6 linked regions of the Macaca fascicularis genome follow. The protein of the gene in region 6 purifies or fractionates together with the protein of the main gene of each other region. This does not show direct contact. Links are inferred from orthologs where the notes say so. Each region holds a gene or a part of one and is shown on either strand. Other genes may lie near its edges.

The links.
Region 1: the proteins of MAPK1 (region 6) and ERF purify together in Homo sapiens (co-immunoprecipitation; 3 studies listed by BioGRID and IntAct, with this or other methods). This does not show direct contact. The link is inferred for Macaca fascicularis from reciprocal best matches to the Homo sapiens genes MAPK1 and ERF.
Region 2: the proteins of MAPK1 (region 6) and STAT3 purify together in Homo sapiens (affinity purification with western blotting; 3 studies listed by BioGRID and IntAct, with this or other methods). This does not show direct contact. The link is inferred for Macaca fascicularis from reciprocal best matches to the Homo sapiens genes MAPK1 and STAT3.
Region 3: the proteins of MAPK1 (region 6) and DUSP9 purify together in Homo sapiens (affinity purification with mass spectrometry; 5 studies listed by BioGRID and IntAct, with this or other methods). This does not show direct contact. The link is inferred for Macaca fascicularis from reciprocal best matches to the Homo sapiens genes MAPK1 and DUSP9.
Region 4: the proteins of MAPK1 (region 6) and DUSP4 purify together in Homo sapiens (affinity purification with mass spectrometry; 6 studies listed by BioGRID and IntAct, with this or other methods). This does not show direct contact. The link is inferred for Macaca fascicularis from reciprocal best matches to the Homo sapiens genes MAPK1 and DUSP4.
Region 5: the proteins of MAPK1 (region 6) and HMMR purify together in Homo sapiens (affinity purification with mass spectrometry; 4 studies listed by BioGRID and IntAct, with this or other methods). This does not show direct contact. The link is inferred for Macaca fascicularis from reciprocal best matches to the Homo sapiens genes MAPK1 and HMMR.

What each region holds. Positions count from the first base shown.
Region 1 is NC_088393.1:49,302,742-49,306,961, forward strand, and holds the end of ERF (ETS domain-containing transcription factor ERF), read right to left. Parts: intron 3,837-4,220; coding exon 3,721-3,836; intron 3,633-3,720; coding exon 2,359-3,632; 3' UTR 1,466-2,358; downstream 1-1,465. UniProt on the Homo sapiens protein: Potent transcriptional repressor that binds to the H1 element of the Ets2 promoter. May regulate other genes involved in cellular proliferation.
Region 2 is NC_088390.1:63,362,195-63,367,362, forward strand, and holds the end of STAT3 (signal transducer and activator of transcription 3), read right to left. Parts: intron 4,661-5,168; coding exon 4,618-4,660; intron 4,339-4,617; coding exon 4,226-4,338; intron 2,924-4,225; coding exon 2,868-2,923; 3' UTR 457-2,867; downstream 1-456. UniProt on the Homo sapiens protein: Signal transducer and transcription activator that mediates cellular responses to interleukins, KITLG/SCF, LEP and other growth factors. Once activated, recruits coactivators, such as NCOA1 or MED1, to the promoter region of the target gene.
Region 3 is NC_088395.1:159,705,508-159,709,906, reverse strand, and holds the end of DUSP9 (dual specificity protein phosphatase 9), read right to left. Parts: intron 3,536-4,399; coding exon 3,080-3,535; intron 2,812-3,079; coding exon 2,486-2,811; 3' UTR 1,463-2,485; downstream 1-1,462. UniProt on the Homo sapiens protein: Inactivates MAP kinases. Has a specificity for the ERK family.
Region 4 is NC_088382.1:32,536,597-32,542,445, forward strand, and holds the start of DUSP4 (dual specificity protein phosphatase 4), read right to left. Parts: upstream 3,917-5,849; 5' UTR 3,512-3,916; coding exon 3,079-3,511; intron 1-3,078. UniProt on the Homo sapiens protein: Regulates mitogenic signal transduction by dephosphorylating both Thr and Tyr residues on MAP kinases ERK1 and ERK2.
Region 5 is NC_088380.1:170,197,044-170,202,211, reverse strand, and holds part of HMMR (hyaluronan mediated motility receptor), read right to left. Parts: intron 3,903-5,168; coding exon 3,714-3,902; intron 2,403-3,713; coding exon 2,316-2,402; intron 2,225-2,315; coding exon 2,124-2,224; intron 418-2,123; coding exon 343-417; intron 217-342; coding exon 38-216; intron 1-37. UniProt on the Homo sapiens protein: Receptor for hyaluronic acid (HA). Involved in cell motility. When hyaluronan binds to HMMR, the phosphorylation of a number of proteins, including PTK2/FAK1 occurs.
Region 6 is NC_088384.1:31,334,732-31,339,899, forward strand, and holds part of MAPK1 (mitogen-activated protein kinase 1), read left to right. Parts: intron 1-1,516; coding exon 1,517-1,631; intron 1,632-1,933; coding exon 1,934-2,065; intron 2,066-5,168. UniProt on the Homo sapiens protein: Serine/threonine kinase which acts as an essential component of the MAP kinase signal transduction pathway. MAPK1/ERK2 and MAPK3/ERK1 are the 2 MAPKs which play an important role in the MAPK/ERK cascade.

The sequences.
Region 1 (4,220 bases), on a different chromosome or scaffold from region 6:
ACCTGGACAGCACTTAGGGAGCTGAGCTGAGCACTGATGATTCCATATTAGATGTGGTTAGAAGTGCTTTGAAGGCACTGGGCTTAGAGGCTGAGGCCAGTAGTTAGGGTCCTCTCCTCCCGAGAGACAACATCCCCATCTCCATCACCCCACCACCAACTCAGCTGCAACTATGTTGCCAGGAGACATGTCTCATCCCAGCTTCCAGAAATAGCCCAGTGGCCCCCACCCCAGGGAATGACTTACATCACCCAGGAGAGGGAGCAGTTTCCCGCAGGCCGCCTCAGGAGCCTCGGTTTCCTGCCAGTATCCTAGCTCTGGATCCTCTCTTCCCTGCCAACCGACATCATCTGGGACCACCCACCCTGGCTGGCATGAAATGAGGTGCGAGTGGGTAGCAGTTGCCAGTCAACGTTCCTTCCCCCTCAGGGTTGCACAGGGTGGAGTTTCATGGTGAAGCCAGTCCAACAAGCCCTCAATTGCCACTCCATCTCTTAGCAGCTGTGTGGCCTTGGGGAAGCCCCTTCCCCTTTCTGGGCCTCAGGCACCTCACCTGCGAGAAAGAGACAGGACTTGTCTCTAAAGGCACTTCCAGCCTGGATTATTCCTCCTAATTCTTTCATCCCTGATTCGAGCTCTCCAATCTCAGCTTCTAGCTTTATGAGCTCATCTCAAATCCTCTGATCCTGAAAGCCTGATCTGGATCCAACTATCTTGGTGTTAGGAAGGAAAACTCAGTTGTTGAAAGAACGTGGGCTTTGAAGTCCTGGCTCAGCCACAGGGCCCTGGGCAAGTCACTTAGCAGCACCGGTTGCCCCTACCTTACTAGATAATGAAAGAGCTACAACATTGCAGCTCATAAGTATTGGACACACAGTAGATCAACAGCATTGATGACTAGTGAGCCAGTCCCCTGGCTGTGTGCTGGCTGGGGGTGTTCCCATGGCTGGACCAGAAGATCACCAAGTTACCTTGCAAGGTAACTTGCAGGCTGTTCTGTTCTCCAAAGGGCTCCCGGCTGAACTCAGAGCAACAAGAGAAGGGTGTGGGCAGGGTGTGAGGGGCAGTGCAAAAGGGAGCTCCTGGTCTTCGCTGGGGACCTGGGGTGTGGGAAGAATTCACAGCCACAAGTGGGAAGGCATCCAGGCAATCAGAAGAGCAAGGGCAGTGGGATTGTGGTGAAAAACAGTGGGAAGAGCTTTCAAGGACAAGGTCCCCATGGAACAGAGGGGCAGTCAGATGAAGCTGGTGCATGCCCGAGACCACTATCATCAAACTCTGGGACTTAAGTGCCTCTGAGGTCAAGACAGTTTCCCAGGCCTGGATTTGGCCCATTCTGATTAGGGTTAGGCCCTCTATACCGATCTGGCCACAGACCCACTGGCAGCCAGGCTGGGGCCCCTCCTTCAGAATCAAACAAAAGCAGGGGGCTGCACCCAGCACCTAGGACATTGATCACCGCATCCAAAGGTCCAAAGTTTTATTGTTTTGAATACATTCTCCAGCGGCCCCTCTACTACCCCCACCCTCAGTCCCCAATACAGAATAAGGCTTGACCACAGCCCCCCACCCCACTCCAGAGGCCCCAGCTGGGAGGCAGAGGAGGCTTCCAGTTTGGTTTCAGGGTACCCCCTTCCCATCCCCCCACCCGCCTGCCCATGGGCCAGTCCTAGGAGCAGCTGGGGGTGAAGGGGTTGGACCGGTGCTGGGGTGGGGAGTGGGAGAGGGATAGCAGGCACTTGTAGAGATCTGTGGCCCATGGGCGGCACCCCTCACCCTCCTCCGCCCCCCACCCCCCAACACATGGAATTTTTGGTTCATTATAAAATTGTCCCTCCCTCCCCTGCTGTGACCTTGTGGGGTATGAGAAACCTAGGCACTCATGGCCCCCTGGAGGGGCAGGGCAGGCAGGGCTGGGGCTGAGAAGGGCTGGGAGTGGGGCAGAGTGGGTGGGCCAGAGGGGTACAAGAGGCAGAGAACAGGGAGGGAGACAAGGCTTTACTTCCTAAGCGATTGTAATAAAAAAGTTCCTGGGTGTTAAGGCCAAAGCCTCAATTCAAATATAAATTCCCCAGAATGGAGGTGGCCCCCTTAACTTCCCCCTCCCTCCCCGCTACCACCACTTTGCCCAGAGCTTAGAAACCCACAGAGACAGGGAACAGCCCCTAGCCCTGGGCACCCACCCACCCCCACCATTTAAAAAAAAGAAATTAAAGTTTTATACAAAATGTGGGGAGGGGAAAGGGAGGAGGCAGGGAAGAGACAAGAGAGCTGCCCTCACCTCCAGGGCACAGGGGGCTTAAGGCAGCAAAAGAAGCATGGGGGGTGGGGGGCACACGGGTCCCCTGCCCACAGCCCTCAGGAGTCTCGGTGCTCCAGGGAGAGCTGGGCCGTGGCATGCTGGAGGTCAGAGCTCACCCGCCTTGGGGTGAGGGGCCCCCCGGCCTCCCCAGGCCCCTCCCCACGCACCTTCTTGTCCTCGCCCTCATCCTCAAAGCCCCCAGCGGGGCCCCCACCCCCTTCCAGGCGACAGTCTTCACTCCAGCGCCGCTTAAAGCGTAGCTTGAGGGGCATGCACTGGGATGCCCCGGGTGCCTCACCGGGCTCAGGCTTGGGGGGTGCAGGTGGGGCACGGGGTGTTTTGAACACCTCCCCGTCTTCCTCATCCTCATCACTGATGTCAGTCACCTCCACCTCCTCTGACTCGCCTTCCGAGATGGGCTCCACCTTGATCTGTGGTGGCGGGGGCGGTGGGGCTAGCGCCCCTGCCCCCTCGGCCAGCCCGCCTGCGCTGCCACCGCTCTGGTCAGCACCAGCTGGGCCCTTCTCCCCAGCTGCCCGCTGCCGGCGTCCAAGTGGGGGTGGCTGGAGCTTAAATTTGAATGGGGAGGAAGAAGAAGAAGAGGATGACGACGCCGAGGAGGGGACCGGTGGGGTCTCGGGTGCCATGGGCGGCAGCGGGCACTTGTCAGGGCGCTGGGGCTGGGGCACCACCAGCCCGGGGTAGTGCAGGAAGGCGCGGGGGCTGAGGTGGTAGTTGTAGACGCTTTGGGTGTGGGCCTGCAGGTACCGTTTCATGTCCTCGGGGCTGAAGGAGAAGTGGGAGCCTCCCCCTGAGCCGCTGGGCCCCCCGCCACCACTGGGGTACATCGGGCTCAACGTGGGCGAGGGAGTGTAGGCCAGGTGGGTGGGCGTCATGGGCAGAGCCGGGGAGAGCTGAGGGGGCAGCAGGGATCCAGGCCCAGCCAGAGGTGACACAGGGAAGGGGCTGAGGGGTTCAGGGCCACCCCGAGGCCGGGGATAGACACGGAAGACACCAGGGTCATGGGGCAGGCGGGCCAGCGGGGGCCCTCGGAAGGCACCCAGATCTGGAGGGCCAGGTGGTCGGGCCCGGGGATCCTCTCCCAGCGGTTCCTCCAGCTCTGATGTGCCATCACTACAGTCACTGACTGAACCTCGGCCCAGGCGGCGGGCCACCACAGCAGAAAAGAGGGAGGATGAGGATGAAGAGCAGGCCGGTGGTGAGCGGGGGTCCTCGGTGGGGGACAGCACCTCGGAGGGCGTCGAGGGAGGGAAGCGGAAGTGGCTACCGCCCGACGGCACTGGCGGGGCACTCTGGGGCACCGCACCCCCTGGCGGAAGGGAGACAGTGTCAAGGCCCCTGGCCTAGCCTGAAGGGGCACACAGACCCCCTCCACACCAACCATCCCCGGTACTCACCAGCCAACCCCACATCAATGAAAGGGTAATTGACCAGCACCAGTTTGTTGAAATTGAACTTGTAGGTGAACCGTTTCCCCTTAGTCTTGTGCAGAATGCGCTTGTTATAGTAATAGCTGTGGGTACAGAAATGCCATTGGGAGGGTCAGGTATGTGGGATCCAGGTCTAGACTCCACACCTTAACACGCACTTAGGTGTGGTCCCAAAGGCCAACTGAGGAACGTGGGCCACAGAAGACAAATCAAGTGCCCAGAGAGTGGGTACCAGCTCTCTCCTCACATGTAAGGCAAGACTAGAGGATCCACTGGTGACCGTATTCTCTCCTCAAGATACTTCTGCGTTACCAAGGGGCTCAGGGAAGGGCTGGGAGTGGCCCAAGGTCACACAGCTAGGATTTGGCAAAGCCAGGGGTCAGACCCAATGCTTGTTCCCACAGGCAAGGGGCTGTGCATCGGGTGGGGACAGTCCACATGTGCTCAGGGGTCCCCAGCCCGTCCTC
Region 2 (5,168 bases), on a different chromosome or scaffold from region 6:
TTATCACCGCTGGCTGCCTGGAGGCCCTGCAGCCACCACCGGGTGTCTGCCTGTTGTCCCCACTCGGTGAACTGAAGGCAAAGTGATAAAGGAGCCAACTGTGGAAGGGGAAGCCTTGGTGCAGTGGGAGTATCTAACCCCCAACCCCGCTTAGGTGGCTTATCTGACTCCAGACAGGACGAGGCCGCTCTAGGGGGTAGGAGGGGGTTGGGGAGGGAGGCCTCCACTCTTACACCTTTCTGCCGTTGGACTATTGACCTCCTGCTCCTCCAGGCACCCCTTACCTCCGGGCTGGTGGCTAACATAAGGGGATGGGGTTGGGGACTAAGGCAACCACCTCCTCTCAAGACCCTTTCCGGCCCCCATCCCAGGCCCCGCCTGTGTGTGAGGCCTCCTCAGAACTTAGGCAGGGGAAAAGGAAGCCTCCACCAGCCAGACAGAGCTGCCATGCTATCAGACGGTTCCTATATAACGTTTATTTCTGGAAGTTAAAGTAGATACAGCAATATACCAAAAAAAAAAAAAAAAAAAAAAAAAGACAAAAAACCCCACAATAATATAAATTTTTACACTATGAAGTACACATTGGAATTTGAATGCAGTGGCCAGGACAGCAGCTTATAAACCACCTTATAGGTAGGTAAGCAACCCACGGGATTCCCTCAGCTGGGCTGGGGACGGGCAGGAGGGCAGTGGACAGGAAGCGGGCAGGGCCTGAGGACCCTGTTCTTTAAGGGGCCAGAACAAGGCTCAGCTCCTCTCAGAACTTTTGCTACAATCAGAGTTAAGACCAGATACACATGCTACCTAAGGCCATGAACTTCATAATATCTGCTCCAGAGAAGCCCGAACCCTTTCCCGAGGTCCCTATGATTTAAACCCAATGGTAAGCCCAAGACTCACCTTCCTAAATATTCTCTCTGTTTATCAGTTAAGCTTATTATGTACTGAAGAGTGTTGCTGGAGAAGCGAGAGCTCTGCAAGACACATCAACTGTCTCCAGGCAGGAGGACTGGGGCGAACCCGGTTCATCTTAGAGAAGGTCCTCTCCCACTTAATTCAGAGACCAGCTAATTTGATCTAACAATCAGAATTCCACAGAAACTCTGATCAGCTGAGGCAAGGTGGTTTTGAGTCGCCAAATTCGGCCATGCCTCTGGGTCAGAGGCAGCCCACCCAGCACGTGCTAGGTGTTCCCATACGCACAGGAGAGGCAAGCTAGCTGGCCAAGGCGGGCAGACAGGGAGGCCCTCTACCTGTTCTGTCTCACCTGTGGGGCCCCAGCAGGGAAGAGTCACCAGCCTCAGAGGGAGGCCAGCTATAACCCTCATACGAGGGCAGACTCAAGTTTATCAGTAAGCCTTTGCCCTGCCTGAACTGACCGCTGGAAATCACCAAGAAACTGGGCTAAGAACCATATTCCCTGAGCTCAACCAGACACGTCGCTGGGGCCCCATAGTCTGCATCATATCCAACTGGTAACTTTCTCCCCCTCTTCTTCCATGAGGTCCTGAGACCAGGATTCCTAAAACAAACAGGACGAGGGACCTTCAGACATGGGAGGAGACATGCCACTAGCAGGGTCAGGGGAACTGGGGTCGGGAGGGTGGGGCAAGAAGGAAGCCCAAATCAGAAGTATCCCAGCCCTGATAAGGCACCCACAGAAACAACCTAGCCTCTGAAACAGCAGATCAAGTCCAGGGAGAAAGGGAGTCAAGGTTGTAAGCACCCTCTGCCCAGCCTTACCCACTAAAAGACCAATACATTACAAAGGAAAATAGAAGTCTATTTATAAAAAAAAGTCTAAAATGCTTAGATTCTCCTTAAACCTTCCTATTTCAACATCAAAGGCCAGGCTGCAGCTTCAGACGTCTTTTAAGGGTTTGACCTGAAGCCTGTTTCAGGGGTTATATAAATTATCAACCTGAAGGAAGCTGAATGCTTAAAGCACCAAGGAGGCTGTTAACTGAAGTTTCTTTTTCTTTTCTTTTTTTTTTGAGATGGAGTCTCACACTGTTGCCTGAGTTGGAGTGCAGTGGTGTGATTTTGGCTCACTGCAACCTCCGCCTCTTGGGTTCATGCCATTCTCCTGCCTCAGCCTCCCGAGTAGCTGGGACTACAGGCACCCACCACCACGCCCGGCTAATTTTTTGTACTGTTAGTAGAGATGGGGTTTCACCGTGTTAGCCAGGACAGTCTTGATCTCCTAACCTCATGATCCACCCACCTCGGCCTCCCAAAGTGCTGGGATTACAGGCGTGAGTCCCTGCGGCCGGCTGCTGAAGTTTCTTAAATACAGAAAGGCTATGCTGAAACAGTGTTTTTTGCCCTTTAATTGTTCTTATTTCTTAATTTAAAAAGAAACCTAGGGCTCAGATAGTCCTATCTTCTATTTGGATGTCAGCAAGGTTAAAAAGTGCAATGCCAGGAGTATGTAGCTACAGGTGGCCTGTGGCATTTGCTTACAGAAACAGGCAGAAGGATGCCGCGGGCACCAGGAGGCACTTGTCTAAGAACAACAACAACAATAACAAAAAGCTGCTGAGAAAGGAGGGCAGGGGAACAAAACAACACAAGACATTTCCTTTTTCTCCCTCTAGCCACCCCCCGCCACATCCCCCCATCACGGGTCTCAGAGAACACATCCTTATTTGCATTTAGATAAAAGCAGATCACCCACATTCACTCATTTCTCTTATTTTTAAAAGTGCCCAGATTGCTCAAAGATAGCAGAAGTAGGAGATTAAAAAAAATCTGGAACCACAAAGTTAGTAGTTTCAGATGATCTGGGGTTTGGCTGTGTGAGGGGTGGCGGAACACAGGTAGGCGCCTCAGTCGTATCTTTTGCAGCTTCCGTTCTCAGCTCCTCACATCGGGGAGGTAGCACACTCCGAGGTCAACTCCATGTCAAAGGTGAGGGACTCTGGAGGGACAGACAGGGAAAACTAGTTCAGTTGTCCACCCTCTGCAACTGGCAGGCCACGCCCCCAGCCCTTCAGAGGATAGGACCCAGGCTACAACTGCTATCCAATCTCCTGTCCCTTAGGGCCCAGGGATGGTCAGAAAAGCCAGATTTACTCTCCTCCCTAGAGGACCCTGCCTCTGGAAGGGCCCTTTCTCCTTCCTCCCTTAACCAATTCCCAGATCTCCATGTTTACAGAAGATCTAAGGCTGTCCTTAGATCTTCTGCCCTTGATCTACTGTTTAATTCAGGAGCCCCAAGACACACGTGGCCACCAAGCATTGGAGATTTGGTTTGTCCAAACTGGGCTGTGCTGTGGCTGTCAAAAGCCCACCGGATTTTAAAGACTTAGTATGAAAAAAAGAGTAAAAAAAAGGTCTCAACTTTTTCTTTTCTTTTAGTTTAGTTTTGTTGTTTTGAAACAGAATCTCACTCTGTCACTCAGGCTGGAGTGCGGTGGCACGATCTCAGCTCACTGCAACCTCCACCTCCCAGGCTCAAGCAATCCTCCTACCTCAGCCTCCCGAGTAGCTGGGATTACAGGCATGCGCCACCACGTCCAGCTAATTTTTGTATTTTTAGTAGATATGGGGTTTCACCATGTTGGCCAGGCTAGGCTTGAACTCCTGACCTCAAGTCATCCACCCGCCTCAGCCGCCCAAAGTGCTGGGATTACAAGCGTGAGCCACCCACCCAGCCTCAACTTTTTCTGAAATGTTAAATTTTTTTTTTTTTTTTGAGAGGGAGTCTCGCTGTCACCCAGGTTGGAGTACAGTGGCGTGATCTCAGCTCACTGCAAGCTCTGCCTCCAGGGTTCACGCCATTCTCCTGCCTCAGCCTCCCAAGTAGCTGGCATTACAGGCGCCCGCGACCGCGCCTGGCTAATTTTTTGTATTTTTAGTAGAGACAGGGTTTCACCGTGGTCTCGATCTCCTGACCTCATGATCCGCCTGCCTTGGCCTCCCAAAGTGCTGGGATTACAGGCGTGAGCCACCAAGCCTGGCCTGAAATGTTAAATTGACAGTATGTTGGATTTACTGGGTTAAATAAAATACACTGTAAAAATTAACTTCGTCTATTTCCAGTGTGGCTGCTAGATTTATACCCGCACGTGGCATTCATACCATTTCTTTTGGAAAGCAATGCTCTAGAACCTCCTACCATTCTGAGTGACCAGCTCTCGGTGTGTTGTACATGTGAGAGCATCATACAAAGGGGACCAACTTCCCTTACAGGGACAAAGTCTGTCAACCAAATACTCACCAAACTGCCCTCCTGCTGAGGGTTCAGCACCTTCACCATTATTTCCAAACTGCATCAATGAATCTAAAGTGCGGGGGGACATCGGCAGGTCAATGGTATTGCTGCAGGTCGTTCTGTAGGAAATGGGGGGCAGCAGGAGGGGAAACGGGGGGTTGACAAGACACAATGGAAAAAAAAAAAGAACAAAACACACACACACAAGCCATCAAACTCTGGTCTCCAACAGAAAAATAAAAGCTCAAGCTCTTTAAACACACAAGGTCACTGTGAGTACTAAACATAGCCCAGGGGCTTCCGACCCTCGGCAGATTAACTCTCACCCAGTGTCCTACTCCCAGGGATAACTGAGGATATTAGAAATGAAGGCAAAATTGGGAAAGGAAGCCACTTACGGTGTCACACAGATAAACTTGGTCTTCAGGTATGGGGCGGCGCCTGGGAAGAAGAAAACCAGTTTTCTTACTGACTGTGACTTCGCATTCAGTAAGCAGAGCCGGAGGAAGCCATCTGCCTCAGCTGGACTGATTTGAAACTCACTCCATCCTCATGCCAAGATTGTCTGGAAAGCTCCATCCGCCCCTCAGCGTTGCCCGCCCTCATCTATACTATTTGATGTCCTAGGCACTAGCAGCTTTGAACCTCAGTTCTTTGCACAAAGCTGTCCTGAGCTGCAGAGGCTTTTCAGCATAACCTTTTCCCACCTGAGCCTAGACTAATGCCAACCTTGTGTCCATTCTTTCCCTAGATTATGTAAAAGTTTAACAGCCTCCATGTAGTCTAAGGATTCTATTCTAGCCTGGTCATATCTCTTAGATAACTTCTCTGAATGCAGGAACCAAGCCTGCGTAGTCTTTGCCTGGTGTACCAACATCACCGAGTCTTTAAAGAACATGGAGACTGCTAATGCTTGTGGTTCCAAAGCCAAAGGTTATATCTCCTATTC
Region 3 (4,399 bases), on a different chromosome or scaffold from region 6:
ATTTTCAGTAGAGACAGGGTTTCCCCATGTTGGCCGGGCTGGTATTGAACTCCTGACCTCAGGTGATCCTCCTGCTTTGGCCTCCCAAAGTACTAGGATTATGGGTGTGAGCCACGGTGCCTGGCTGAATCACTGTTTCTAAGTGCCTCCGAGAGAGATTCTGGAGTGTCCACTACTCTATGCTGAGACCACTCTAAAAGAACAGTTCAGCTTGTGGCTATAAGCTCTCAGGGGAGGGGGAACATTTTCCTTTTATTCCACTTCCCCCCAGATCCAAGGTCAAGATCAGCACACACCCTCTTCTTTCTTTGGGATGTATCTTCCTAGGTCACCTGTTCTAGTAGTTTTCTGTGGCTGCTGTAATAAATTACCACAGAGTTGGTGGCTTACAGTAACACAGATTTCATATCTTCCATTTCAGAAGATCAGCCATCCAAAATAGATTTCAGTGGACTGAAATCAAGGTGTTGGTGGGGTTGCGTTCCCATGGAGGGTCCTGGCTCCTGGGCTAGCCCCAGGGTGGCTTACTCCACTGGCCCAGAGGATTCGCATCATTTCTCACCTCATCACCTTGCTCTTCCTTTCCTACTAGCTCAGCCATTCACACAAATGCCTTTAGATTGCCCCCAACATCTTGTGGGTTCTGGGCCACATTGCTCCCAAAGTCTCCGCAGCTTTCTCGGGCTGCGCTTGCTCCCCGCCACCCTCCAGTTGCCCTTTCCCTCTGCTACATCTCCATGGTGTAGCATGGTTATAGACCCCGGAAGCTACGGTGTGGAGAAGGCATTGGCAGTGTCCCAAGATGAGGAGAGGTGCAGTTCACCTCTGTCCCTTTAGGTGGCCTGTTGGTCTCCATGTTCTCCATGGGGTTCTTCTAGTCCCCAGCCTGGGCTTTGCAGCCCAAATTCCACAGCCAGAGAACCACAACACTCACATGTGCCAGTCTGCCCACACCCCTCCCTGTCACTCTCAGGATGCCACCCAGCCGTGGCAGCCCTCAGGTTCCAGGCAGGGCTCCGGGCTGACTTGGCCGGTGTCTCAGGGATCACTTGTGAGTGCTGGGTCCTCGCTTTTCTGCTCTGTCCATGGCAGTGGACATCTATGGCATAACTGCAGTGCTGTGACTGTTGCATGTATCATTTCTTCCCCCACTAGAAAGTCTGCTCTGAGCAGGCAGAGCTCACTGCTGCAACCCAGTCCCCCGACAGTGTGTGGCACAGACTAGGGGTTCAAATGGAGGTGAATGAATGTGCAACTCAGAGCTTGGGCCAGCGGGCAGTGTAAGCACAATATGGGAAATGATAACATGGGGCGGGGAGTGGGTGGTGCTTGAGTCCCTGGCCAGCCCGACACACCCCCCTTTCCACCATGGGCAGTCCAGAGAGACCAAGAGGGCCTCCTTCCCCACCTTCCCCCAAACCCTCCAAGGTGCTCAGGAGGTAGCTTGCCTCTCTACTCAGTATCTTAAATAAACTGTTTATTCAGAAGGAATAATTAAAGAAAGCAACTGTGATATGGATTACAAAAACAAATAAGCATAGCTCCTCTCCAGGCTCCAGGGTGAGATGGCCCCGTGCCGCAAAGACTGCCAGCCCTGGGCTGGGTGAATCAGTGGGCTAGCATGTGTGTGTGAGTGCCGACACGCGCGCACACACACGCACACCCGCCACCCACAGGGGTGTGGGCAGAAATGAATGACTGTGTGTGTCTGCAGCTTGGCCCCTTCCCCAGCCCCCAAAGTAGCAGCGGCTGTGTGGGCCCCGCAGCAGCAAAAGTGAGGCCTTCTTCTTCCCCTCCCCCTCCCCAGCTCTCGCTCTGAGACCCCATCTCCTCCGGCAGCAGTTTGACCACCCTCACTCACAAAGAGCGCCAGTGATCCCGTCAAGACATCTGGGGGAAGAGGGAAAAAAAAAAGCCCACCAGATGTGTGGCCGGGAACCTGCCCAGTCGCTCCTAGGCCATGGATGCAGGCAGCCACTGCACCTCTGGGTCCCCATTCCCTGGGAGGCCCCAGCCCCGAGAGGCCCAAGCCCTTGGTGGAGAAACAGGGAGGTGACAACACCAGTGATGGCAAACTCCTCTCCCCCAAGCAACCATTTGGGGACAGGGGAGGGACTGGGAGCCAGTCCCTGTGGCAACAAGGTGAGACACACCCTTCCTGAAGGAGGAAGCGCAGGGAGGTGCAGGGCCCAGCCGAGCTGGCCGAGCACCCAGGGCCGGGGCCGGGGCCTGGACAACCACCTGGAGAGGGAACCCCCACCCCCATCCCGCAAAGCAAAAAGTAACAGTCGCAGAAGAGGCAGGCTCAGAGCAGCCCTGCCGTAGGCACGTTGATTAGGACGCCAGCCCGCGTGAGGTATTGCGCTCTCCCCCCAGCACCCTGCTCAGGCCGAGCCCTCCCGCCCTCCCCTCCCTTGCCGCACGAGTGGGCAGGGACACCCGTGGGTGGGGGTGGGGCAGGGGCCGGCCCGCCGGCCACTGGGCCCTAGGTGGGGGCCAGCTCGAAGGCGCCATCACTGGTGGGGGTGGTGAAGAAGGAGGGCGGGTCAGAGGCCATGGATGCCTGCCCCCCACTGCCCTGCTCCTGTGAGCGGCGCTCCTCCAGCCGCAGGCTGCGCTCAAAGTCCAGCAACTGCCCCATGAAGTTGAAGTTGGGGGAGATGTTAGACTTCTTTCTCTTGACCAGGTCATAGGCATCGTTGAGAGAGAGGTGGAGCTTCTGCATGAGGTAGGCCACAGTGACGGTGACAGAACGGCTGACCCCCGCCAGGCAGTGGACGAGCACCCCGCAGTTCTGGGACAAGGCCTCATCTAGATGGGGCAGGACAGGGCCCGGGAGACCCCGAGGGCAAGCGTGTGTGAGGCCGAGGCCTTCCGAAGACCCCGCCCTGCCCCCTGAGCCAGATGGCCACGGCCTGGAGTTTTCGCTGGTGGCCTCTGGGGGCCGCCCTAGCTCTGCCTGTCCCCTAGAAGTGCCACCCTGGCTTTTGGCTCTGGGAATGGCAGCTGGGCTTGGGAGGAGTGCTCACAAGGGGGAGGCCAGAGCAGGTCTTGGGGAGGGTGGGTGGGGCGGACTCACCGATGAACTCAATAGCCTCCGGGAAGAACTGCGACAGGTTCTGGCTCCAGTGGTCGGAGATGGGGATCTGCTTGTAGTGAAAGTCGCCATTCTTCTCGAAGAAGTTTGGGAGGTTGGGGGTGACATTGAGGATGTAGCGGATGCCCAGTTTGGCCAGGCTCTCCAAGTTGGCGGAATCCCGGGCACTGCCCAGATAGAGGTTGGGCAGGATCTGGACAGGGAAGGATGCCCGCAGCCCCACTGGCGGGGGTGTGGCACCCTCCGAATCCAGGCCACAGCTCATGGAGTCGCGGTCAGCCTCGGATTCCGCATCAGAGCAGTCGGAGCCCAGGCACAGACTGCCCAACCCCACTACAGGCACCGGACTGGGCACCGGGGCCATGCTGGAGCCGGCACGGCCACTAAGGCTGGTCTCACACAGGTGAGGGCACTCGGCCTGGAATCTGCTGAAGCCACCTGTGGGGGAGAGGGCATGGGGCCTGCTGACCTGGCCTCCTGGGCAGCCAAGTACCTCTGTCTGGGGCTGGGGAGCTGACCCTAGACAACTTGGAGGGTTTGCAAATGTTCCTAAAAGGAACACAAAACCCAGCAGCTTGGTGTGTCCTGGTGCCACGTGGAGCCCTAGCCACCCTCACTCAGCACTCTCGGCCACTGCTCTGGACAGCAAGTGCCCACTGCAGCTGCTGGGGCTGCAAGAAGCTGGGCTCACGCTGAACCACCGGAGAGGATCTTACACCCCTAGGGTCAAGCTGAGGCAGGTGTGAGGGCTCAACAGAGCTGAGATATACTGCCAGCCTTAGGGAGGACTGTGGCCATCAGTTAAAGAAAAGGAAGTTCTCTGCCTGGGCATGTCCTGACCCTCAGGGATGAAGTGGGACCCCAAGATGTGGGGAACTTGGGGGAGAATGTGACATTCCACCAGAATGGTTCTAAAGTCTCAAGAAGCCAGCATCTCTATTTACAGATACTATTTCCCCGGGCTGGAAACCTGACACTTTATATGCTGTTCAGGAGGCTAAGGTGGGAGGATCGCTTGAGCCCAGGAGGCTTCAGTGAGCCGTGATTGCACCAATGCTGTCTGACCCCTGCCTCCCTTGCTCATTTGCTGAGCAGGTGGGAGAGGTGGCGATACCCTTGCCGAGACCCTGGGGAGCCCACACTTTCTACTTCGCTCTTGAGCATCCTGAGAACTAGCTCAGGTCAGGCCAATTCTCCCCATTTTCCAGGCTCAGAGACTGGGCTGCTGAGGGTAAAGAACTTGCCCACGGTCACACTCAGGCTTCCCTCCTCTCAAAGCAGCCTGGCAGGTCATCAGAGGAG
Region 4 (5,849 bases), on a different chromosome or scaffold from region 6:
ACCTGCGTGGAGTAACCAATTCAACGTGAAGTAACCCCTCAACGTGGCAGAAATAGAAAAACTGAATTTTAAAATACAATTAATTAAGACAATTAGCTAGCTTTGGCTGGGAATGCTACTATCACTTCTGAAAATATTCTGTTGCTTTTACTGCTTCCCCTAACCCCTCCAAGAATGGCAGACACCAACCCTCAGGCCTTCCACTGGCTTCCTGTCCTGCTCTACAGACATGCACAGGCACACATGAAATGAGACATACATAAATTCCCTCACTGGAAAATAAAATGAACAACTCCAGTAGGAAACAAATTCTACAATCCTTCATCAATTAAGGCATTTACTAGAGATAATCTAAGGAGCTTTTTCTTCCTTTGCTTCTCAAAATTCCTCTTTAGGTCTCTGCCCCAGAGCCCCCTCCCGGGAAACCACATTTGATCCACTGCACTGGCTTCCAGGCACGGAAGGGAGGTGTATCTGGAGACCTGGGAGACACCTTGATTTCCTTCCCCAGCCCCTACCCGCAGAGCTGTGGGAGCAGATACTGACTTTTTCCTTCTGACCTCTCTAGGGATGCTTTCCATTAGAGGGCAAGGAAGAGGAACTGGGTTAAAGATGGCCTCTGCTGAACACATATGTCAAAATCAGCTAAGCTAAAACGAATAGGGCCCAATTAACCTCAAAGATGTTCATCACCACTACAGAGCAAGCTGGAAGATTTCCCCCACCTCTCAATTTTAAGTGCTTGCTTCCAAGGGCAGGCTCCCTTTGCTTGTGAAGTAGAAGCTGAACTTCTGGTTACAGGGGGCAGGGAAGGAGGGGCTATTCCAGAAGAGACCGAAGCTGATCTGTGGCCCAGGCCTGCACACCTCCATCTGCAAGGATGTCCACCTGGCGATGCCGAAGATGATCCTCCCTGCCCGCATCGGGGCCGACTACGAGAGGCAGTGCAGGCTCCAGGAGGAAACAGCCCTTTAAAATACTTCTCTTCCGTTGGCCAGGCACCTCACCACACACCGGAGGGCTGTCATTTTACCAAGAGGCCTATCCCACTCAGTCCCTAGCCTCGCCCAGAGTCTCCAGGGCTTCGAATCGGTTTGGCTGAGGAAACGGAGGAGGTTGGGGAGGTGGACTCTCAACGGGATTCACGAGGGACAGGGAAATGCCGCGCGCCCTGGGAATAAACCTTAAAAAATAATCCCTTTTTCCCCGGGAGCGGGGCCTAAGTGGCTGCAACCCCGGAAGCCCAAGGGACGAGGTCCCGGAGATGCCGCTCTAGAGCGGTCCCCTCGGGATTTCTTCCAGGAAGGAAACCAAAACACAACAAAACAAACCCAGACTCCACGTGGGGCTGGAGCCCAGCCCTCCTGTGTTCTCGCGGGTCCCGGGTTTGGAGGCCAGCGAAGGAAGGCGCGCCCGCGCTCTCCATCGGGGGGACTCGAGGGCAGCGCCGTGCGGGGAACATGCCGGCCAGCCCCGGCCACTCCAGGGGACTTGCGTCCCAGAGGAATTGCCCTCATCTCTCCCACTAGCGCCGACAAGCTCAAACAATGGCGCGGAAGCCCACCCTGGTGGCCTAATCAGGACCTGGCCCCGCTCAGCGGTCAGGCCTTCCGGGACAAGCCCCTTCCTGGCACTTTCTCTTGGAGCGCTTTGGGGAGAAGGGAGGGGGACTGGGCTCAATTGGAGGAGCAAAAGACGGCCCCCGCGGAAAAAGAAATAAAAATCAGCAAAATCGCCTTAGCAGTTCAACCAAAGGTCAACAGCAGCGTTTCCCCAGCAGCTGACAGGTCAAATGGGCAGGAAACAACTGCGGAGAACAAAGCCCCCCGCTGTTCGGCAGGGGCGAACCCGGCTCCTCAGCACCGAGCAATTTTGTTGTGTTTTTTGGAGGGGAGAGGTTTCCGCCCCCCTCCAGCTCCCTTCCTCCCTGGTGGACAGGTCGGAAGAGGAGCGGAAAGGAAAGGAAAGGAAAAGAGGGAGGCGGCGAAGGCGCCTGCAGGGGGAGGAGCGGCTCTTTGATGGGGTGTGGGGGGGTCCGAAATGCCTCCCGGGCTCGGAAGCGCAGACCCGACCCGCACGAAAGAATGCGCGGAATGCGGCTGCGGGAGGCGGGGGGCGCAGCGCGGCAGGGAGCGCCCGGACCCCACGCGCCCTGCCCGCTCCCTAGCCCGAGGGCCGCGGACCCACCCGGCCCTGCAGGTGTGGCGGGCCCCCGATCCCTCCAGGGATTCGGACGGCACGCGATTTTTCCGGGATGTCTGACTACAAATGTGACAAGACAGCCCCGCCGCCAAGAGTTTCGCCAGGGCTCGCTAAAATCCGGCACGCGCCGCCATCAGATAGTCGAAAATCCGGGCTGAACAAAAGGTGGTCATTGTCCGCTGCCCGGATTTGCAGGAGCTAGAGGACCGGTTCCGCCCGGCGTCCCCCAGATACCCAGTCCTCCAGCCTCCCGCTCCCAGAGCCTGGATCTAGCCCGGGACGGGAATTGGCCACCTTCCAAGCTGAGCTCGGAGTTGGGCAGCGGGAACGCAGATACAGATCGCTCTACACGGTGTGTGCAACCCAATCTCCTTTCTGCATTGCCAGGGTCTTGTTTTCAGTGAAACTGGCAGGGCCAATTGTACCTCGGCGTCCACCCCTCTTCACCCTTTTCCCCACCTCTCTGATTCTCCAGGTCCGGCTCAGTGCAGGGCCCTGGCAAGCCAAACCAACAGGCCTATCTTGTCCCCACGCGCCCCGTGGTACTTGGGAACTGTTCCCGGGACTCAAGATGGGCCGCGCAGAGTGGCCGCTTCATCCTCGAGGCCAGGACCGTTAGTCTCAATAAACGGGGCCTCGCTAGGACGGTGCGGAATTGCAGGTGAGCGGGGGAACCCGTCCGCACTGTCCCTGAGGACTTGAAGCTCTCACTTGCACAGAAACCTCGCAAACCCGTACACACCAACACACAAAAGGGCGCGCGGGGATCCCTGCAACTACGAATCTCGCCGGGCCCTCCTTCCCGTGCCAATAAGGTGCAGGCCGCCAAGACCCCCTCCATTTCCCCTCCAGCTAGCGCCCGGAGCCCGCGTTTACCTTTGAGCAGGCAGATGTCAGTGCGCTCGGCGTTACGGCGCAGTGCCTGCACCACCAGCGACACGGTGCTGTCCTCACGGAGGCTCTCGGCGCGCGGGCTGCGCTCGTCGTAGACGATGACCGCCGAGTAGAGGCCGGAGCGCAAGCGGGCACGCACCTCCTCCTCCGCGGGCAGAATCTGCTCCAGGCTCACGGAGCCCTTAGCTCGCCGCCGCACGATGGTGTTGCAGCGCACGTTGACCGAGCCTCGGATGTAGCCCGCGCTGTGCGCCAGGAACGGTCTGCAGTCCAACAGCAGGCACTTGCCGCCGCTCGGCAGCCCCAGGGCGCCGTGGCTGCCGCTGCCGCCTGCGCCGCCGCCGTTCTCGTCCCGGTTCATCAGCCTTTTGAGCACGCTGCAGTCCATCTCCCGCAGCTCCTCCATCGTCACCATGGTCGCCGGGAACCGAGGCGGCTGGGCGCGCGAGGAAGAGAAGGGCACCCGGGCTGCCTACGCTGCAGGAAGAAGCGGGCGAGAGCTAAGAAGGGACGCCCGCAGAAGTGGCCGCAAACTTGGTCCTCAGGGGCTCCCGCGGGCGAGCCTCTTCTCCCCTGTCCCCTTCCTCCCGCAGCCTCGCGGTCACATAGCAGTTGGAGCGGCCTCGGGTGCCCAGCCGGGCGGCGCGCAGCGCGGAGGGGAAGGCGGCGGTGGAGGAGAGTGTGTTTACGGGAGAGGACCGCGGACTCTCTTCGGCGGCTGCCTCCCGTGTATTTTTGCCGGTCGCGCGGCTCCTGTCGCCACCGGCGCAGGCGCTGCCGCTCCCCACGCTCCCCCGGCGCGCCGCGCACTACCCCAGCCAGAGTTTCCTCCTAGGCTTAGAGATTTATTAATGCTCCTCCGCGCTCCAGGGGGAGGGGGCGCTAGGTACTACCCCGCCAGGCCCCGCCCCGTTCCATTCCGGGCTCGGCGCCCTCCCCCGCCCCCCGCGCTGACTCCCCGCCCCCTCCAGCCCCTCCTCCCACCCCCTCCCCGGAGCTTGAATGGAGCGCGGCCGCTGGCTCCTGGTCACGGGAACTCGACGTCACAAAGAGCGGAGTAAACAGGGCGCGGGGTGCTCGCCGCCAGGCCCATTCATAAAACCGAGGCCGAGAGGAAGAGCGAGGCGGCCTCCGACCCGCCGCGAGCTGCAGGCAGCGCCTGGACTTTGTGAATGGAGCGCGCGGCGCCTTTCGCTGTCTGCCCGCTGGCCCAGGCTGCGCCGCGCCTCCAACCCGACACCGGCACCTGTGCCGCCGCTACACCTCGCCGCTAGGCGGGCGGTGTCAAAGGAATATAGCCGGCTGAGGAGGCCGGGGCTCGGGTTTGAGCTTTCATCCCTTTGCACCTTCGCGCTTCCCAGCGTGACAGCCCCGCAGGTCTCTCCTGGGTACCCAAGTGGAGAGGGGACCAGAGCGCCGCTGCCCACCCGGCGGGGCCTGGCACCTCCTAGCCCCAGACTCCCCATGCGCTTTCGACACGGCCAGTCCTTTCTGAAAATGTGATTCCTGAGACGTAGTTTGTATTAGCGTGATCGATTTTCATCCAAAGCCATTAAATCAGTTTTATAGCTTCCTCAGGAACGTGGGCAACCCCCTGCTTGGAAGATGAAAGAGAAAGTCCTCCCGCCCGAAGCCCAGGATCCGAGTGAGGTGTGGGGTTTGTTGCTTTACGACCCAAAGGGAGGCATTAATTGCCGGAATGGTGTTCCGAGGGAGGAGAGCCGTCTACATTTCTGTCCACGCTTCCTAAAAGATGTTTGTTTAACCCTGGTCGGGGGAGAAACAAGGTTTTCGGATTTGGGAAAGGTTTTCACCCTATTTTGCATAGTTGTGAATTATCCTTTCAGGAAATGACATGGTCCACATTTGCTGCGGAGCTGGACCCTGGAAAATGTACCCGTAAAAAAATGACCTTTTGAAAGGACTTCAGCTCTGGGCCTGATTCAGGTTTCTGGGCATCCCTTTTTCCTGGTCACGTAACAGCCCTCCCCATCCCCATTTATCTTTTGCGTTTAATTTCCCAGAGGCGGCTTTTGGCTGGGGGTTTGTGCACGCACGCGGTGGGGACCGTGCAGAAGCCAAAAATTATTCGCCCGACATCTTGCCAAGTCTTGTTAGTGAGAATCACAGAGCAAGGGAGTTACAGGACTCGCTCGCAGTTTCGGAGGCTGCAGAGTAGCGTATTCCATTCCAGCGCGCGCGTGGAAGCCCGACCCAGGCAGCGAGGGCAGCGGAACCCGCCGGGTCTCTCCCGCCCCAGCTCGCCCTCTCCCCATGCCTTTGTTCCAGGCGGAGCTGCTCTCTAGAGCTCTCACCTCCGGTCCCGGGGGCATCCCTGCACTCTCCCACCGGAGCTCGGCGGAGCCTCCACTTCCGAGACCTTCGACCAGCCTCGTCCCCCACTGCGCCCCGAATGCCTCGGCCCTCGGGTCCTACTCGGATGGGCTGTGAGGGGCACCGCTTGGGCAAGGTGATATTTCCTTTTGCTCCGGGCTCCAAAATGGCTCACGATGGCACAGCACGGATCCTTTCTCTTTTTAAAATTTAGTATTTTATTAATCATGGATATTTTGCATTTTTTTTTGTTTATTTGTTTAAAGAGGCATTGCATCAAGATATTTCTTTTGATTACTGACTTTTCGGCGCCCTTCTTAAATGTTGCGCTCAAGGCTCGTGCTCACCCTAGTCCAGGCCCTGGAAGGGGCCACAACTGTGGACTGACCGAGGCTGCCCGGTGGCGGGACCCTGGGCGT
Region 5 (5,168 bases), on a different chromosome or scaffold from region 6:
CTTATCTAAAGAAAGTAACTATAAAACACTGTAATACCTTTTTCTTTTTCAAGCAGCTGACATTTTGCATTTAGATTGTCTACTTGTTTAGATAATATAACAATATTCTCCTCAAGAGACTGCTTAAGGCTTAACATTTCATCATTCTTCTCTTTCAAATTTTCTTCTAACTGGGCAACATCTAGCTTGTATTTTTCCACTTGATCTGAAGCACAACTGCATTAAAACAAATTGTCTTAAAAAGCACATCTATTTAGGCACAGGGAAAAATAACAGAAAAATGATAAAAATGATTCAGTATTAAAAAAATAAGGTTCAATTTAAAGCTACTGCTCATATTACCTAATTTCTTCGATGTATTCTAAGAGTTTTTCTGTTTCAGATTTTTCATCAATCTTTTCTTTCTCTATTGAAACACTAAAACAAAAATTGCATATGTTAATACATTCTAGTTTCATTACTTAATAATCATACATAATGCTTATGTACCAGATACTGCTGTATCAGGCAGGCTGACTCCAGAGTCCTAACTCTTAACAATTATTTTATGTGATTTCTCAAATTCAGAATTTATATCCAAATACAAGACTAAAATTTTTATTTAAGTGATAAAGTTTTCTGAATATACACTGACAAAAAACCTGTAATGACAAGAACCATCATTACAGTATCCCAAGTGTTAGAAATAATATTTTTTTTGTGGTCTTCCTGGTTTTCCCACCCACCCAACATCCTAAATAGCATTTTGTGTGCCATAAAGCTTTTGTCCCAGACTACCTGGTATTTGATTACTTATCTGTTTACCTCCACCAAACCGTCCAATGCAAGAAATGGACAAAAGACTTCAACAGACACTTTGCAAAAGGTGATATGCACATAAAATGGTCAATAAGCACATAAAAATATGGTCAACATTCATAGCAACAAATTAAAATCACAAAGGAGATACCACTTCCTACCTAGTAGAAAGGCTAAAATCAAACAGACAACATTAAATGTTGGTGAGAATCTGTAACAACTGAAACTGTCATACATTGCCGGGGGGTGTATAAAAATGGCAAAACCACTTTTGAATTTTAAAAAACATTATATATACACTACCCTATTACCCAAGAATTCTACTCCTAGAAATTTATCTGAGAAATAAAAACATGTCCATAAAAAAACATAAAACATGTTCACAGCAGTCTTTTCAATGGCAGAAACTGGCAACAGCCCAAATAATGATCAAAAGGAGAGTAAAGAGATGGAGGTATATTCATAGGGTGAACCACTACTCAGAAATAAAATAGGAAAAATTATAGTACACAGAACAGATTGGATGAATCTTGAAAAATTACATCAAACAAAAGAAGCCACACACACACACATGCTCTTTCTCTCTTGCATGTCCTAAAAAAAGGCAAAACTGGACAGGTATAGCGGCCATGTCTCTATCTCCAGCACTCTGGAAGGTCAGGGTGGTATCACTTAAGTCCAGGAGTTTGAGACCAGCCTGAGTAACACAGCAATGCCCCATCTCTAAAATAATAATAATAACAATAATAATGATAATAAATAAAAAAAGACAAAGCTAATTCATGATGATGTAAGTGAGAAAGTAGTTGTGGGGATGGGGACATGGCACAGGCAGTAGCAGGGAGTCAAGAAGGGGTGTGAAAGAACTTTCTGAAGGGATGAAAATGTTCTCTATCTTGTTTGGTAATGGTTACATAGGTGTATACAACTGCTAAAGTCACCAAACTGAACACTTACTCTCCACACATTTTATTATATGTAAATTAAAGCTCAAAATCAAAGCCTATGATTGTGCATAAATCACAACTTCCTATACCAGTGTTTTTCCGTTTCAATCTAATGACCACTTTCATAAGATCACGAAACCTTTCCTCATCATTAATACAGAAGATGTACAAAAGTAATGCACTCATACAACTTTCTAGCACATGTTTGAGAATGATTAGGGCTCATTCTCATTTAAAAAAAGAAATAGGGCAACTGGAGGGAGGCAATGAGATAAGTACTAAGAGAAGTCTGAAGTCTCAGTAAACAATAATTTGTGAAGAGAGTCAAATCAAGAATTGCTTCCACTTAACAAGTTCTCTTCACATTCAGTCACTTACAGTTTTCCCTCCAGTTGGGCTATTTTCCCCTGAGACTCTTCGAGACTTCTTTGGGTGACCTGCAGCTTCATCTCCATGCCTTCTTGCTTAGCCATCATACCCTACACAACAAAGATACGTGTTTTAGGAAATGAGAAAATTGTACTGATCCCCAGATCCAGACACAGCAAACCTGCCAAAGGCAGCACTCACCCTCATCTTTGTTTCTCTTTTGTTTCTAAGTTTCATCAACTCCAAGCTTAGAATTCTCAAATTCTTCTGGTTACCATTTTCAGAAAACTAAGTACAACAAACACATAAAAAATTCAGAAATATTTTCTGCTAAGATATATTTAAAATACACAAGTATTGATTTTTCTACCTATCACTGGGGTTATGTTTTTGACTGTAATATGCTTTGGTAGAGAGAACAGTCTTTGACCTACACCATAATTACTGATTGATTTTTTTTTTCTTTTGTTTTTAAGAGATCAAGTCTCGCTTCGCTGTCCAGGCTAGAGTGGCGTGGCATGATCATAGCTCACTATAATCTCAATCTCCTGGACTCAATCCTCCTGCCTCATCTTCCTGAGTAGCTAGGATTACTGGTGTGCACCACCACCATGCCTAGCTAATTTTTCAAGTTGTTTATAGAGATGGGGTCTTGATATTTTGCCCAGGCTGGTCTCAAATTCCTGGCCTCAAGCAATTCTCCAGCCCTCAGCCTTCCAAAATGCTGGAAATACAGGCATGAGCCACTGCACCGGTCTACTGTTCTTATCTCTCTTTTCCTTAATATGACTTGCTGGTTTGTTTTGATTTTATTTTTATGAGACAGAGTCTTACTCTGTCACCCAGGCTGGAGTGCCGTGTTGCTCACTGCAACTTTCACTTCCCGGGTTCAAGCGATTCTCATGCCTCAGCCTCCTGAGTAACTGGAATTACAGGTGTGTGCCACCATACCTGGCTAATTTTTGTATTTTTAGTAAAGATGGGGTTTCGCCATGTTAGGCTAGGCTAGTCTCGAACTCCTGACCTCAAGTGATCCATCCGTCTCAGCTTCCCAAAGTGCTGGGATTACAGGTGTGAGCCACTATGCCTGGCCTGCTGGTTTAGTTTTGAAAGGTTGTTTGGGTGGTCACTTACCTCTGTGTGCTGGAAAGTGCATTGCAAGATTCTAAAGCAAGTCCCTGAGAAAGGATTTCTTGAAACATGTTTGCTTAACAAAATAAATCTGAATTGCCTGGTATACTTTGTTTTGTTTTGTTTTTTTGAGACGGAGTCTCACTCTCTTGCCTAGGCTGGAGTGCAATGGCACCATCTCAGCTCACTGTAATCTCCACCTCCTGGGTTCAAGCGATTCTTCTGCCTCAGCCTCCAGAGTAGCTGAGATTACAGGTGCCCGCCAATGTGCCTCGCTAATTTTTGTATTTTTAGTAGAGACGGGGTTTCTCCACGTTGGTCAGGGTGATCTTGAGCTCCCAACCTCAGGTGATCCACCCGCCTTGGCCTCCCAAAATGCTGGGATTACAGCCGTAAGCCACTGCGCCCAGCCCGAAAAAACATGTTTATATTTATTCAACTGTAAATGTTATCATGAGGCTCAGATACCTTAGATTTTAGTAGTTCATTAGTCCTGGTCAATTCAATAAGTTGTTTCTCCAGTGTAGCATTATTTGCAGAGAGAGACGTTTTTTCCCTGAGTGCAGCGTTCAGCCTTGCTTCCATCTTTTCCAACTCAGTTTCCAGATCCTGGATCCGCCTGTCCTGGGCACCACGTTCCTGTAGAAGAACACGAATCTGGACAAAAACAAGGTGAGAATAAATGATTACGAATAATCACCCCGAAAGTTTCTGGAAAAATCTCTGATTTTGACATTATGCTTGTAGATATTCTAATGTTACTAGCTATCTGAATAATCATATTTACCTATGATGCATCTTAAAAGTCTTAATGCATTTTAAGAACAGAAGAACTTTAGTTGCCATAAATTCCAAGTATAATTAAGCTATTTATTCACTTTTTTTTTTTTTGAGATGGAGTCTTGCTCTGTTGCCCAGGCTGGAGTGTGGTGGCAGCATCTCGGCTCACTACAAGCTCCGCCTCCTGGGTTAAAGCAATTTTCCTGCCTCAGCCTCCCGAGTAGCTGGGACTACAGGCGCCCCCCACCACGCCCGGCAAATTTTTTGTATTTTTAGTAGAGACGGGGTTTTACTGTGTTAGCCAGGATGGCCTCGATCTCCTGACCTCGAGATCCACCCGCGTCAACCTCCCAAAGTGCTGGGATTAGAGGCATGAGCCACTGTGCCCGGCTGCTATTTATTCACGTTTAAGGCATTTCCACCTATAACAGTTATTTTCTGTAGCTTCAATTACACAAATTCAAATTAGCTTAAAATACTAAATGTTTTTTATTTCAAGAAGGCAGAGCTGGGCTTCTGAGGAGAATGTACTAGGCATTGGCAAGCCATCATTCTTGCTGCTATTACCAGATTTAAAAAACAAAACAAAACAACAAAACCCCCCCAGACCAATATTTTGTCCACAGAAAATGTGGAAGCCAAAAGACAATGAAATGAAATGATATTTTTAATGTCATGGGGGGAAACCTGCCACCCTAAAATTCTACACCGAATGAAGTCACTGATATAAATTATTAGTTCTAATCCTGGCTTTACCACTCACTCACCAGCTATCTGACTGAGACTCAGTGATTATTCCTCAGTGATTAAATATCAACCCCTACATGTATCCTCAATAAAATGATAGCTAACATGATTAGAATACATACAAAACAATCAGAGCAACTGAGCAGACATCTACAGTTACTCTGACATACTCTTGGTCAAAAGCCAACATTCGACTGTAATCAAATGAAAGATTTTAATATATCGAAAGAATATATCCATGAGAAAAAGAGTTGGTTAGCAACGGAAACAGAAAAAAAAAAAGGCAGAGAAGCAAAGTTCACAGTGAGCTGCTTAGCATTGCTAGGAAAGTAAATGGGTTCTTTAGGTCAGTACTGTTCAACAGAAATTTCTGTCATGGTGGAAACGCCCTGTCCA
Region 6 (5,168 bases):
TGGAGAAACATCTTTTTTGCACCATTGTTATAATTCAGACAGAATCCTTACATGATTTTTTTTTAATTTTTATTTTTAGAGACAGGGTCTCACTGTGTCACTCAGGCTGGAATGCATTGGCTCAGTCATAGGTCACTGCAGCCTCCAATCCCTGAGCTCAAGTGATCCTCCCACCTCAGCCTCCCGAGTAACTGGAACTGCAGGTGTGAGCCACTGTGTGTGGCAAAAATAATAATAATAAAATAATTAGATAATACCCGGTGTTGTTGAGGACATGAGGAAATGCATTTTCTTTCACATGCTGCCATTAGGAGTCTAACAGCGCTCACTGCAGCCTCAAACTCCTGGCCTCAAGCAGTGCTCCCACCTCAGCTTCCCAAAGTATCCTCCCATGACTTCTAACAGGATTCCTTTAAAAGAAAATATATTCCTGAAAAATGAATAGGAAAAGAAGATGAGAATTCTTTTATTTATTTATTTATTTTTTATTATTATTATTTTTTGGAGATGGAGTCTCCCTCTGTTGCCCAGGCTGGAGTGCAGTGGTACAGTCTTGACTCACTGCAACCTCTGCCTCCCAGGTTCAAGTGATTCTCCTGCCTAAGGCTCCCAAGTAGCTGGAACTATGGGTGCCCACCAGCACACCCGGCTAATTTTTGTAGTTTTAGTAGAGACGGGGTTTTACCATGTTGGCTAGGCTGGTCTCGAACTCCTGACGTCAGGTGATTCGCCCATCTCAGCCTCCCAAAGTGTTGGGATTGCAGACATGAGCCACCATGCCCAGCCGAGAATATTTTAGAAGAGCTTGGTAAAATATGTTGGAGTTAGCACACTCTCCCCCCAGCCCAGAAAAGATTTTTAGACCTTTTTTCTTTTTCCAGCTCCAATTTATGACAATTCTAAATCTGTCTCTCAAATTGTTTCAAAAAAGGACTGATGTATACTTTGGAAATTCTAATTTAATAAATTAATCAACTTTGTGGGTTTGTTGTTGTTTTGAGACGGAGTCTCACTCTGTCACCCAGGCTGGAGTGCAGTGGCACAATCTTGGCTCACTGCAACCTCTGCCTCCTGGGTTCAAGCAATTCTCCTGCCTCAGCCTCCCACATAGCTGGAATTACAGGCACCCACCACCATGGCCAGCTAATTTTTTTTTATTTTTAGTAGAGATGGGGTTTCACCATGTTGGCCAGGCTAAGCTCAAACTCCTGGCCTCAAGTGATCTGCCCACCTCTGCCTCCCAAAGTGCTGGGATTACAGGAATGAGCCACTGTGCCCAGCCCAAGTTAATCAACTATGAAGAGAAAAATAAAATCACATAATCTTGGTTGTTCAGCTTCTCAAAGAAAGCCAAATTGTTTTTTGTTTTTCCATGCTGTTTACTCATCTTTCCGAATTGTGGAGTCAAAGGAGAAGTTCAGAGTCCCATCAGCAATGTACCTGTCATACAGGAAGATCTCTTCATGTCCTATAACACCAGATGCCATTTTCAGTCTTGTCTCTCTTTCTCCTGCAGGGCTACACCAAGTCCATTGATATTTGGTCTGTAGGCTGCATTCTGGCAGAAATGCTTTCTAACAGGCCCATCTTTCCAGGGAAGCATTATCTTGACCAGCTGAACCACATTCTGGGTAAGGTTCCCGAGCCCTTCAGGAGCTAAATTTACTCAAGTTTGCCTGCCTACAGCTTATATCAAAGTCACTTCATTAAATTAAGAAGAATTCTAATACACTCTTTAACCTGTGGTAGGTGTGAATTTTTAACCTTCCCTGATTTAAAGTGTTAAGGACTTTTGTGTAAAAACTTAAGAAAGGTAAGCATTAGGGGTGGTGATAAACCGTTAATTATCAGGGTTCATTCTGACTCACAGTTGATGGTGTGTAGTCATTTGCCTTGGTCTTGATAACTAACAGCTAATTTTTTTATCTGATAGGTATTCTTGGATCCCCATCACAAGAAGACCTGAATTGTATAATAAATTTAAAAGCTAGGAACTATTTGCTTTCTCTTCCACACAAAAATAAGGTGCCATGGAACAGGCTGTTCCCAAATGCTGACTCCAAAGGTAAATGTTATTTCGTTGATTAGTTTTTTCTTAGACTTAGCTTCATGTTTGTTAAATTGTTAGGTCACTAGCCTGAAAAGTGAGCCTATGGCTATTGGATAATGCTTTCTTTAGTGCTCACTCTGAATTGCTGTCTTCCCTTTTTTTGGGAAACAGTGGCAGTGCAGTAAGGGAGCCTGGTAATGACTGTCTAGTTCTCCCCCTTTTGGTTTCTTTGCTAATTTTAACTTGCATTAAGGTCACTTTCTTTTGTTTTGTTTTTGTTTGGGACAGAGTCTCACTCTGTCGCCCAGGCTGGAATGTAGTGCCCCAATCTCAGCTCATTGCAGCCTCCTCCTCCTGGGTTCAAGCGAGTCTCCTGCCTCAGTCTTCTGAGTAACTGGGACTACAGACACGCACCACCACGCCGGCTCATTTTTGTATTTTTAGTAGAGATAGGGTTTCACTATGCTGGCCAGGCTGGTATCGAACTCCTGACCTTTTGATCTGCCTGCCTCGGCCTCTCAAAGTACTGGGATTACAGGCGTGAGCCACAGCGCTGAACCCTGCAAACAAATCACACCTTTTCATCTTGTCACTTGATAATTTTTAAAATCAGGTTTATTGAATAATAATTTACACAGAATAAAATTCACACTTTTTAGTTGTGCGGGCCTCTGAATTTTAACAAACATGAACTGTCGTATAACAACCGCTGCAATTGAGATGTGGAATAATACTCCCATCATCCCCAAAAGTTGCCTTGTGCCGTTTGTAGTGGGTCACCCCTCTCCAAACCCAGTCTCTGGCAATCATTGATCTGATTTCTATCCCTATAGTTGTGCCTTTTCTGGCATGTCATGTTAATGGAATCATGGAGTATGTAGCCTTTTTATGTCTAGATTCTCACATTCAGCATAATGCATTTGAGATTTATAAAAATCCACGTCATTGCTTGTGTCAGTCTCTTCAACAAATGGTGCTGGAACAATTAGACACCCATATGCAAAATTTACAAAACTCAAAATGGAACATAAACCTAAATATAAGGCCTAAAGTTATTAACCTTCAAGAAGAAAACAGGAGAGAATCTTCATGACCTTATGTTAGGCAAAGATTTTTTTTTTTTTTTTTTTTTTTTGAGACGGAGTCTCGCTGTGTCGCCCAGGCTGGAGTGCAGTGGCCGGATCTCAGCTCACTGCAAGCTCTGCCTCCCGGGTTTTTACGCCATTCTCCTGCCTCAGCCTCCCGAGTAGCCGGGACTACAGGCGCCCACCACCTCGCCCGGCTAGTTTTTTGTATTTTTTAGTAGAGACGGGGTTTCACCGTGTTAGCCAGGATGGTCTCGAACTCCTGACCTCGTGATCCGCCCGTCTCGGCCTCCCAAAGTGCTGGGATTACAGGCTTGAGCCACCGCGCCCGGCCGGCAAAGATTTTTTAGAGTACCCATAAAAGAAAAAAGTGATACATTTGATTTTTACCCTTTTTTTTTTTTTAGGTCATCTTCGTTTAATAATTGTATTATCCTTTATTCCCATTTAACATGTACCTGTTAAATATATTAGGCAGCTAGTTTTTAAAACATCATACTATTATAAAACCATGATAGGCGGAATAATGACCCCCCCATCCACCCCCATGGCTATATTCTAATTTCTGGAGCCTATTAACTGTGTTAGGTTCCCTGGCAAACAGGAGTTATGGTTGCAGATGCAATCAAGATTGTTTATCAGCTGACCTTTTTTTTTTTTCCAACTGCTCCTTACAGGGCAGGGCTAATGCATGAGCGGTGTGGTATGCCCAGAGTAGGCCCATCAGCTGACTTTTAAGATAGGAAGGTTGCCAGGCGCGGTGGCTCACACCTGTAATCCCAGCACTTTGGGGAGGCTGAGGTGGGTAGATCACAAGGTCAGGAGATGGAGACCATCCTGGCTTATATGGTGAAACCCCATCTCTACTAAAAAAAAAAATAAAAAAATAAAAAATAATAAAAATTAGCTGGGCGTGGTGGCAGGCACCTGTAATCCCAGCTACCTGGGAGGCTGAGGCAGGAAAATGGCTTGAATCCAGGAGGGGGAGCTTGCAGTGGGCTGAGATCTCACCACTGCACTCCAGCCTGGGCTACAGAGCCAGACTCTGTCTCAAAAAAAAAAAAAAAGATAGGAAGATTTTCCTGGATTGTCTCTCTAGGTAGGTGGATTATCTAGGTGGGCCCATTTATAAAAACAGGATTCCTTAAAAGTGGAGGGGGGAATCTGAATAGGGTGCTTGTCCTTCCATATCTTTATCTGCATACGTGTACGTATTTTCTCTATAATTAATTTTTTTAAAATAATTATTATAAGGGTTAACTTTTTTAAAAATTCAGAAATTATAGAAATATTTAAGAAGGTAAAATTCTTTTATAATTATTCCCTAAATGTCATTGTTAATAGAATTGTGTCTTGAACATCTTTTCACATCAGTGCATAGATCTAGCTTATCGTTAATGATTTTATAGCATTTTTATCCAGTCTTCTGTTAGAAATTTAGCTATTTCTAACTTCCTGTTTTATCTATATGTGTTTATCTGTACATGCATATGAATATATGTGTATATGTAGATTTAACAACTGTCTACTTAAATGTTGAATTGGTTTTATGTATTGACCTGAGTGAAGGTTGAGAAATACTTGGTTGTTTAGAACTGAATTTCTTTTGAAAATGGGAGAAACTTTCTTTTAATCTTTCATATAAAGGTAGAAGAATTTCATCATTGTAGACAGTTAAGAAGTATAGGAGGAATGGTAAGGGAGTATGATCCTGATCACCAGGATCCCACAGTAACCTTTCGTTTTTTTTGCACTAATGTGTGCAAGCTTCTATCTGTGTGGTTGTAATTATATAATGTATTTTGGTTTTGGGGTTTTTTTTTTTTTTTTTTTTTTTTTTGAGACAGATCTGGCTATATCACCCAGGCTGGAGCGCAGTGGCACAATCTCGGCTCACTGCAACCTCCACCTCCCAGGCTCAAGCCATCCTCCCACCTCAGCCACCTGCGTAGCTGGGACTACAACTGAGTAGCTGGAACTACCTCCGCCACCATGCCTATCTAATTTTTGTATTCTTTATAGAGACAGGGTTT